3 linked regions of the Saccharomyces cerevisiae S288C genome follow. The protein of the gene in region 1 purifies or fractionates together with the protein of each later gene. This does not show direct contact. Each region holds a gene or a part of one and is shown on either strand. Other genes may lie near its edges.

Region 1 (3,215 bases):
TCAATATAATTATTTAATATATTAATTATTAATACCATTTAAAAGAAAAGAATTTCATTTCTATCCCACTCGTGAGTAATGGCTTAAAGGCACAATTGTGTGTTCATTATATCCCTATCACCTTCAAAAGGAAGTTTGATCCTTTGACTAACATATTTGAAAGCTTCGCAGGGCAATAAAATTGAGCTCGCCTATTATCTTCCAATCCTTTTACGTTAAAAAAAATGGGGGAAAAGCAAACTGGTAACAGTACGGAATCTATCGAAAATCAAGAGAGTAACAAAGACAACCCCAACAAATGTCTGTCGCGTCTTTCGCACGTTGAATCAGAACGAAGATATGGCTTCTGTCATTCTAAAACTAACGTTTTTTGATTCAAGTCTATGCGGGGAATATTAAATATATTCATAATTCTCACTTCTTTGTTTTATAACGTCAATTCATTTGGCAAAGCAAAGAGAGGGGTTTGTAAGTAGAGAATCTGTTATTTACAAGTCTAAAGGCATGAGAATACATTACAAATCTTTAAAAAAATAGCAAATGTACATGCATATATAAATATGGATCGTAAAGGCCTATTATGCACACGAGTATTAAAGTGTTCGGCCACCAGTTCCTATTTTGCTTCCAGTGGTAACAAAATCAACGATCTTTGGTTTCTTCTTCTTCTTCAGGTACCAATGCCTGTGCCTCTTCTAGCAAATCGGCCAATTCACCAGAGCGTGCCATACTTGTAATAACATCACATCCACCAATGAATTCTTTGTTTACATATAACTGTGGAATAGTTGGCCATTCTGAAAACTCTTTGATACCTTCACGTAGCTCTGGGTCTTCTAAAACATTATAAGCCGCAAATTTGGCCGGGTCAACGCCTTGATTTCCTAATAATCCAATGGTTGCTCTTGAAAATCCACACTTGGGAAATTCAGGAGTACCTTTCATGAAAAGAACCACTGGAGCCGATTCGATGGCATCTTCAATAGCTTTTCTTATCTCTGTGCTCAAATACATCCGATTTTGGTAACGAAGAAGAGTCTTAGCCCGGAGGATGGGGGAAAATGACCTTATGGGATTGAATTTTGGGAGAAACATTGTCTGATTTCCTCAAATTTTTGCTAAAGTCAAAAAGTAAACAGATACCTTTGTGGCCTTGATATATGTGAAAAGAGTAATACAACTTCTTGTCCCTTTGGGACTAGAACGCATTTGTCATCAATACTTTATACCTTTACTTCCTAGAAGTGATTTATTTTGGTCGGGTAACGTTTTTCCAATAAGCTCAGATCAGTGCCAAATACCGGTTTAGACTCTTTACGGCACTAGTTATGCTTTATTGAATAAATTAAGCTCTGTATACTAAATTTAGAATCTCATGATTCCGTATGTAGTAAATTAACAGTTTGTACTATATTATAAAGAAGAATGAATGCATTGAACTTTTTGATCACAAGAAAAGTTGGCGTAGCAATACAACATACCTACTGTTCTCTCTTTGTTCGTGGTACCTTAATTAGTATTGTCGTAAGAAAATCTAAATGTCTTCTTTGGGCTAACTTATGATTTGCATACTTCTACAGTCGTCATAATGGACACCTTGTAATAAAAAGTGATGTGGTTCTCATCTGTTATAATAAATGGCTATGTGCGGCATTCGATGTCGTTTGAGATATTGACTACTAATGTATATTGAGATAAATCTGGCTGTTACCACAATTTGTCATTAGGTAGAAACGATAGCGCATGCTTAAAATAATTATGGATAGAAAACAGCAGTCGCGCTGTATGTAGAAAATATAAAACACATAAGTGATTCAGATCAGAACCCTCCTAAATCCCTAAAATATAGAAGTTCATTACATGGCAGTGATATATTAGAGGTTACCATCCTTTCTTAATATTGATAAGGCTACTAAATTAAGTGTTACTGGAACCTAGTTTCGCTTAATTCCTTTAGCTTTTGCATTCTATTTTTTCTTTTAATCAATCACTAATGAAGAAGCCTTAAGTCAGATAATGCCGTATCTAAGTATTCCTTTTGTAATAGCTCAATTTGTTAAAATACTCGTTCTCCTTGTGTTCTAGTGCATCAATTATCCATAATAATAAGCATATACTCGTACTGAATTATTCAATGGCCTAAATGGCAAGCACTAGCTTGCTCGAAGTTACTAACTGAACTATAAAACATTTTACTCTTTCAATTACTTTTAATTGAATCTTAAGCAGAATCAAAACTGCTTATGACTGCCATATGCTCAATGCGATGGCTCATATTTTCCATTTACATGAACCCCAGTTTATGTTCAAGTAGTATATGTTCTTAATTCAACGCAAACTGCTGATTTCACCATTGAATATTGTTTATATATGATATATACCGTCAAATTACTTCACGACAGTGTGAACTGTGATAAATCACTTGTTCCAACAAAATCCAGTACATTGGGTATTCGATCGCAGGCAATTATATTAATCGGGTATGCTAATATGGATTAGAGCCGTAGAAGCAGAACAAGGAGAATTACTTAATATTTGAAGTTCATTTAATATTCTTTGATTGTTGGAACGAGAGTAATTAATAGTGACATGAGTTGCTATGGTAACAATCTAATGCTTACATCGTATATTAATGTACAACTCGTATACGTTTAAGTGTGATTGCGCCTATTGCAGAAGGAATGTTAAACGAGAAGCTCAGACAATACTGAAGCTGTGTTAAAGACCTATTAGTTGAACATGATATGGTAGGTACATATATGAGGAATATGAGTCGTCACATCAATGTATAGTAACTACCGGAACCACTATTATATTGGTCATGATTAATATGACCAATCGGCGTGTGTTTTATATACCTCTCTTATTTAGTATAAGAAGATCAGTACTCACTTCTTCATTAATACTAATTTTTTACCTCTAATTATCAACATGGCGACCCCAGTGAGGGATGAAACAAGAAATGTTATTGACGACAACATTTCTGCGCGGATTCAATCGAAAGTCAAAACAAATGATACTGTCAGACAGACGCCATCATCATTAAGAAAAGTTTCTATTAAAGATGAACAGGTGAAACAATATCAAAGAAACTTAAATAGGTTTAAAACCATACTAAATGGTTTAAAGGCAGAAGAGGAAAAACTTTCTGAGACTGATGATATTCAGATGCTAGCTGAAAAATTATTAAAACTCGGAGAAACCATTGACAAGGT
Region 2 (2,615 bases), on another chromosome or scaffold:
GAATCGAAGCACAAGAGGCCAGTGACCTGATTCGTGAAGAACTGCTTGGCTTCTTCATCCAGGATTTCGAGCAACGTGTCAGTCTGATCATTGAATGGCTCAATGAAGAATGGTTCTTCCAAACCTCGCTGCATCAAGATCCCTCTAACTACAAAAAATGGTCCTTAAGAGTTCTCGAGTCTCTGGGTCCATTCCTTGAAAACAAACACAGACGATTCTTCATCAGACTTATGAGCGAACTGCCCAGTCTTCAAAGCGATCATCTTGAGGCACTGAAGCCTATCTGCCTGGATCCGGCAAGAAGTTCCCTTGGTTTCCAAACGCTAAAGTTTCTCATTATGTTTAGACCCCCAGTGCAGGACACTGTTCGCGACCTGCTGCATCAGCTAAAGCAAGAAGATGAAGGCTTACACAAGCAGTGCGATTCACTGCTTGACAGGCTAAAATGATCACAACCATTACATACATCATATATACGCATGTGTAGGGTCTTCCTTCAACTTGCAAATCAATGTTTTATCTATCATTCTGTGCTATAGGGACCTCGCAATTTTGACACTTCCGTAAGGAGTCATTCAGCGGCGGAGTCACTTTCGCTAACTCTTTCTTCTATATATACAGACCAACAAACAAGTATCTAATGGGAAAGGGAATCTCCACATGAAGCATACCACATCGACAATGTTACGCACTACTAGACTATGGACCACCCGCATGCCCACTGTGAGCAAATTGTTTTTGAGAAACAGCTCCGGCAATGCCCTAAACAAGAATAAACTACCATTTTTGTACTCATCCCAAGGACCTCAAGCCGTGAGGTACACTTCCCAACATGAGTGGATAGCTGTGCATCAGGACAAGACTGCCTTTGTCGGAATTACAAAATACGCCACTGATGCCTTAGGGGACGCTACCTATGTTGAGTTGCCAGAAGTGGGCACTGAGATTGCCCAAGGTGAGTCGCTAGGGTCCATTGAGTCCGTCAAGTCAGCCTCCGAGATCTACCAGCCTGCCGATGGTACCGTAGAGGAAATTAACACTAATCTTGAGGAAAATCCAGGTGTGGTGAACGAAGATCCTATGGGTGACGGCTGGCTAGTCAAAATGAAGCTTGGTGAGGGCGTTAATGTGGAACAGGTCGAGGGTCTAATGTCCTTAGAACAGTACGAAAAGACACTGGTTCATGATGACTGAACAAAGCTTATACGTACGTAAAGTAATTTCATATATATGTATATATATGTAGGGGAAATAAAACAATAAACTCAACGTGTACACTTATGCTTATGCATTCTATTTCGCTTTGGATTCATACTCCTGTGGGGTCTTTAGTGACAATTGTAAAGCATGGATACCGTTCGCCTGAGCCATCTCGTCTTGCAAGAGGGAATAAACCATACGATGGCGTTGTGGAAGTTTCAGGCCTTCGAACTTTTTACTGACCATCTCAATCCGGAAATGTGTCTCAGCAGAGACATTTCCCTGTACACCAGCATGGCCCTTATGCTTGTGAGAATCGTTGTAGAGGCCAAACGCAAAGTTCTTGTAATCTGGAAAGCCGCATTCCAGTCTCTTCAGGATGGTACGTGCCACGGGACCATCTGTGCTCATTGCTCTCTTGAACATTATTCTCTTTCCACTTTCGTTTGCTGCTAACGATGCTATTCTCTTTTTGATTCGTCATTCCGGAACATATATAAGTTTCTTTATTTGGTCACTGAGAACCATAAAAGCGAAAAGAGAAGGTAAAACATAGAAATGAAGCTCCCACAGACCATGCTACGTTCTATATCTGTGAAGCATGTCCGGTGGCCAAGGATTCTGACGGGCTCAAAGCTTTGGTACTCAACGCAGATGGCAATGACTCCGGAGGAGAAGATGATCACCGATAAACTACAACAGGAACTGGAACCTGAAGTGTGTAAAGTGCAAGACGTTTCCGGTGGCTGCGGATCCATGTTTGCTATCAACATAACAAGCAAGAAGTTCAACGGACTGAGTCTCATCAAGCAGCACCAGCTGGTGAACAGAATTTTGAGGGACGATATTTCCAGATGGCATGGCCTACAATTGACCACTAAGAAGTCAACTGGGAAGGGTCCGGCATCATCATGAACAGTTTGGAACCAAAAAAGCTCGTGTAAGTATCACTTTTAGTTTACTTTTGCTTCCCTCTGTGTATATTCTTTATATATGTATTTATTATTTTAATTGAAATCGCGAAATTTCACATAAGCAACACTAATATCAAAAAACTAAGCAAACAACATAAGGAAAGTTATAGCCATGGTACGTCGATGGATTCCTAGTGGCAGGCATCTTCGCAATAATGACAACACTGGTGATGATGACGACAGCGAGTTCACAAACTCGATGGATTCTGGGATGTCCATACCATCACTCAGGGACTCCATGACCACGAGGTCATCTCATAACGATCCCATCAAGCCTGCTCTGATGAACGATTCCAACAAAGTCAAAAATTTGGAGAAGGAGTTGACTAATGCCAAAATCAAGATTCAAGTACTCTATGAATACATTCGCAGAATCCCTAATAAAGACGGCAATGCACCATCGCTGGGCAATGACACTGATTTTAGAAATTCGATTATCGA
Region 3 (2,582 bases), on another chromosome or scaffold:
CATCCCAAGGACCTCAAGCCGTGAGGTACACTTCCCAACATGAGTGGATAGCTGTGCATCAGGACAAGACTGCCTTTGTCGGAATTACAAAATACGCCACTGATGCCTTAGGGGACGCTACCTATGTTGAGTTGCCAGAAGTGGGCACTGAGATTGCCCAAGGTGAGTCGCTAGGGTCCATTGAGTCCGTCAAGTCAGCCTCCGAGATCTACCAGCCTGCCGATGGTACCGTAGAGGAAATTAACACTAATCTTGAGGAAAATCCAGGTGTGGTGAACGAAGATCCTATGGGTGACGGCTGGCTAGTCAAAATGAAGCTTGGTGAGGGCGTTAATGTGGAACAGGTCGAGGGTCTAATGTCCTTAGAACAGTACGAAAAGACACTGGTTCATGATGACTGAACAAAGCTTATACGTACGTAAAGTAATTTCATATATATGTATATATATGTAGGGGAAATAAAACAATAAACTCAACGTGTACACTTATGCTTATGCATTCTATTTCGCTTTGGATTCATACTCCTGTGGGGTCTTTAGTGACAATTGTAAAGCATGGATACCGTTCGCCTGAGCCATCTCGTCTTGCAAGAGGGAATAAACCATACGATGGCGTTGTGGAAGTTTCAGGCCTTCGAACTTTTTACTGACCATCTCAATCCGGAAATGTGTCTCAGCAGAGACATTTCCCTGTACACCAGCATGGCCCTTATGCTTGTGAGAATCGTTGTAGAGGCCAAACGCAAAGTTCTTGTAATCTGGAAAGCCGCATTCCAGTCTCTTCAGGATGGTACGTGCCACGGGACCATCTGTGCTCATTGCTCTCTTGAACATTATTCTCTTTCCACTTTCGTTTGCTGCTAACGATGCTATTCTCTTTTTGATTCGTCATTCCGGAACATATATAAGTTTCTTTATTTGGTCACTGAGAACCATAAAAGCGAAAAGAGAAGGTAAAACATAGAAATGAAGCTCCCACAGACCATGCTACGTTCTATATCTGTGAAGCATGTCCGGTGGCCAAGGATTCTGACGGGCTCAAAGCTTTGGTACTCAACGCAGATGGCAATGACTCCGGAGGAGAAGATGATCACCGATAAACTACAACAGGAACTGGAACCTGAAGTGTGTAAAGTGCAAGACGTTTCCGGTGGCTGCGGATCCATGTTTGCTATCAACATAACAAGCAAGAAGTTCAACGGACTGAGTCTCATCAAGCAGCACCAGCTGGTGAACAGAATTTTGAGGGACGATATTTCCAGATGGCATGGCCTACAATTGACCACTAAGAAGTCAACTGGGAAGGGTCCGGCATCATCATGAACAGTTTGGAACCAAAAAAGCTCGTGTAAGTATCACTTTTAGTTTACTTTTGCTTCCCTCTGTGTATATTCTTTATATATGTATTTATTATTTTAATTGAAATCGCGAAATTTCACATAAGCAACACTAATATCAAAAAACTAAGCAAACAACATAAGGAAAGTTATAGCCATGGTACGTCGATGGATTCCTAGTGGCAGGCATCTTCGCAATAATGACAACACTGGTGATGATGACGACAGCGAGTTCACAAACTCGATGGATTCTGGGATGTCCATACCATCACTCAGGGACTCCATGACCACGAGGTCATCTCATAACGATCCCATCAAGCCTGCTCTGATGAACGATTCCAACAAAGTCAAAAATTTGGAGAAGGAGTTGACTAATGCCAAAATCAAGATTCAAGTACTCTATGAATACATTCGCAGAATCCCTAATAAAGACGGCAATGCACCATCGCTGGGCAATGACACTGATTTTAGAAATTCGATTATCGAGGGTCTAAATCTTGAAATAAACAAATTGAAACAGGATTTAAAGGCGAAGGAAGTCGAGTACCAAGATACGCTACAATTCGTTCAAGAGAATTTAGAAAATTCGGAAAGTATCGTGAATACGATCAATCACCTATTGTCCTTTATATTGACGCATTTTAATGAGCAAGATGAAAATGCCCATCTTCTTGATAAAGAAGAGAGGGAGACCCTGGAGGAAACTTTAGAGCTGAGCTCGGATTATGTTCTTGAAAAAATGGATACTTTGTCCAAGTTCATCATCCAATTCTTGCAGGACTTTTTGCATTCCAAAAGTCGAGCGGAATCAAAGCAGGATAAGGAAGAATTTCTTTCACTGGCCCAGTCCTCACCAGCAGGATCACAGTTAGAAAGTAGGGACTCACCATCAAGTAAAGAGGAGAATACTGATGGTGGATACCAGAATGACGAAATTCATGACAGTAACAACCACATTGATACAGAAAATGTAATGGCAAACAGTACTTCCTTACCAATTTCAGCCGTCGAGTCTCGTTTTGAGAAAACCTTAGACACTCAATTAGAGATTGTCATAGAAAATTTGCACAAAGAATATGATCAATTTATAAATTCCATTAGATTGAAATTCGAGAAATCGCAAAAATTAGAAAAAATAATAGCGTCCAAACTAAATGAGCAGTCTCATCTACTAGATTCCTTAGAATTGGAAGAAAATTCTAGTTCCGTTATAGAAAAACAAGATCATTTGATTTCCCAACTGAAG

Evidence for each region.
Region 2: the proteins of GRX5 (region 1) and BOL3 purify together in Saccharomyces cerevisiae (affinity purification with mass spectrometry; 2 studies listed by BioGRID). This does not show direct contact.
Region 3: the proteins of GRX5 (region 1) and BOL1 purify together in Saccharomyces cerevisiae (affinity purification with mass spectrometry; 2 studies listed by BioGRID). This does not show direct contact.

Annotation. Positions count from the first base shown.
Region 1 is NC_001148.4:442,459-445,673, reverse strand, and holds GRX5 (monothiol glutaredoxin GRX5), read right to left. Parts: upstream 1,096-3,215; coding exon 643-1,095; downstream 1-642. UniProt on the Saccharomyces cerevisiae protein: Monothiol glutaredoxin involved in mitochondrial iron-sulfur (Fe/S) cluster transfer. Receives 2Fe/2S clusters from scaffold protein ISU1 and mediates their transfer to apoproteins, to the 4Fe/FS cluster biosynthesis machinery, or export from mitochondrion.
Region 2 is NC_001133.9:56,529-59,143, reverse strand, and holds BOL3 (Bol3p), read left to right. Parts: upstream 1-1,758; coding exon 1,759-2,115; downstream 2,116-2,615. Other genes in the region: RNA-processing protein PTA1, read left to right, coding at 1-449; GCV3 (glycine decarboxylase subunit H), read left to right, coding at 682-1,194; BOL1 (Bol1p), read right to left, coding at 1,294-1,626; gamma-tubulin complex subunit SPC72, read left to right, coding at 2,287-2,615. UniProt on the Saccharomyces cerevisiae protein: Acts as a mitochondrial iron-sulfur (Fe-S) cluster assembly factor that facilitates [4Fe-4S] cluster insertion into a subset of mitochondrial proteins such as lipoyl synthase (LS) and succinate dehydrogenase (SDH).
Region 3 is NC_001133.9:55,769-58,350, reverse strand, and holds BOL1 (Bol1p), read right to left. Parts: upstream 834-2,582; coding exon 501-833; downstream 1-500. Other genes in the region: GCV3 (glycine decarboxylase subunit H), read left to right, coding at 1-401; BOL3 (Bol3p), read left to right, coding at 966-1,322; gamma-tubulin complex subunit SPC72, read left to right, coding at 1,494-2,582.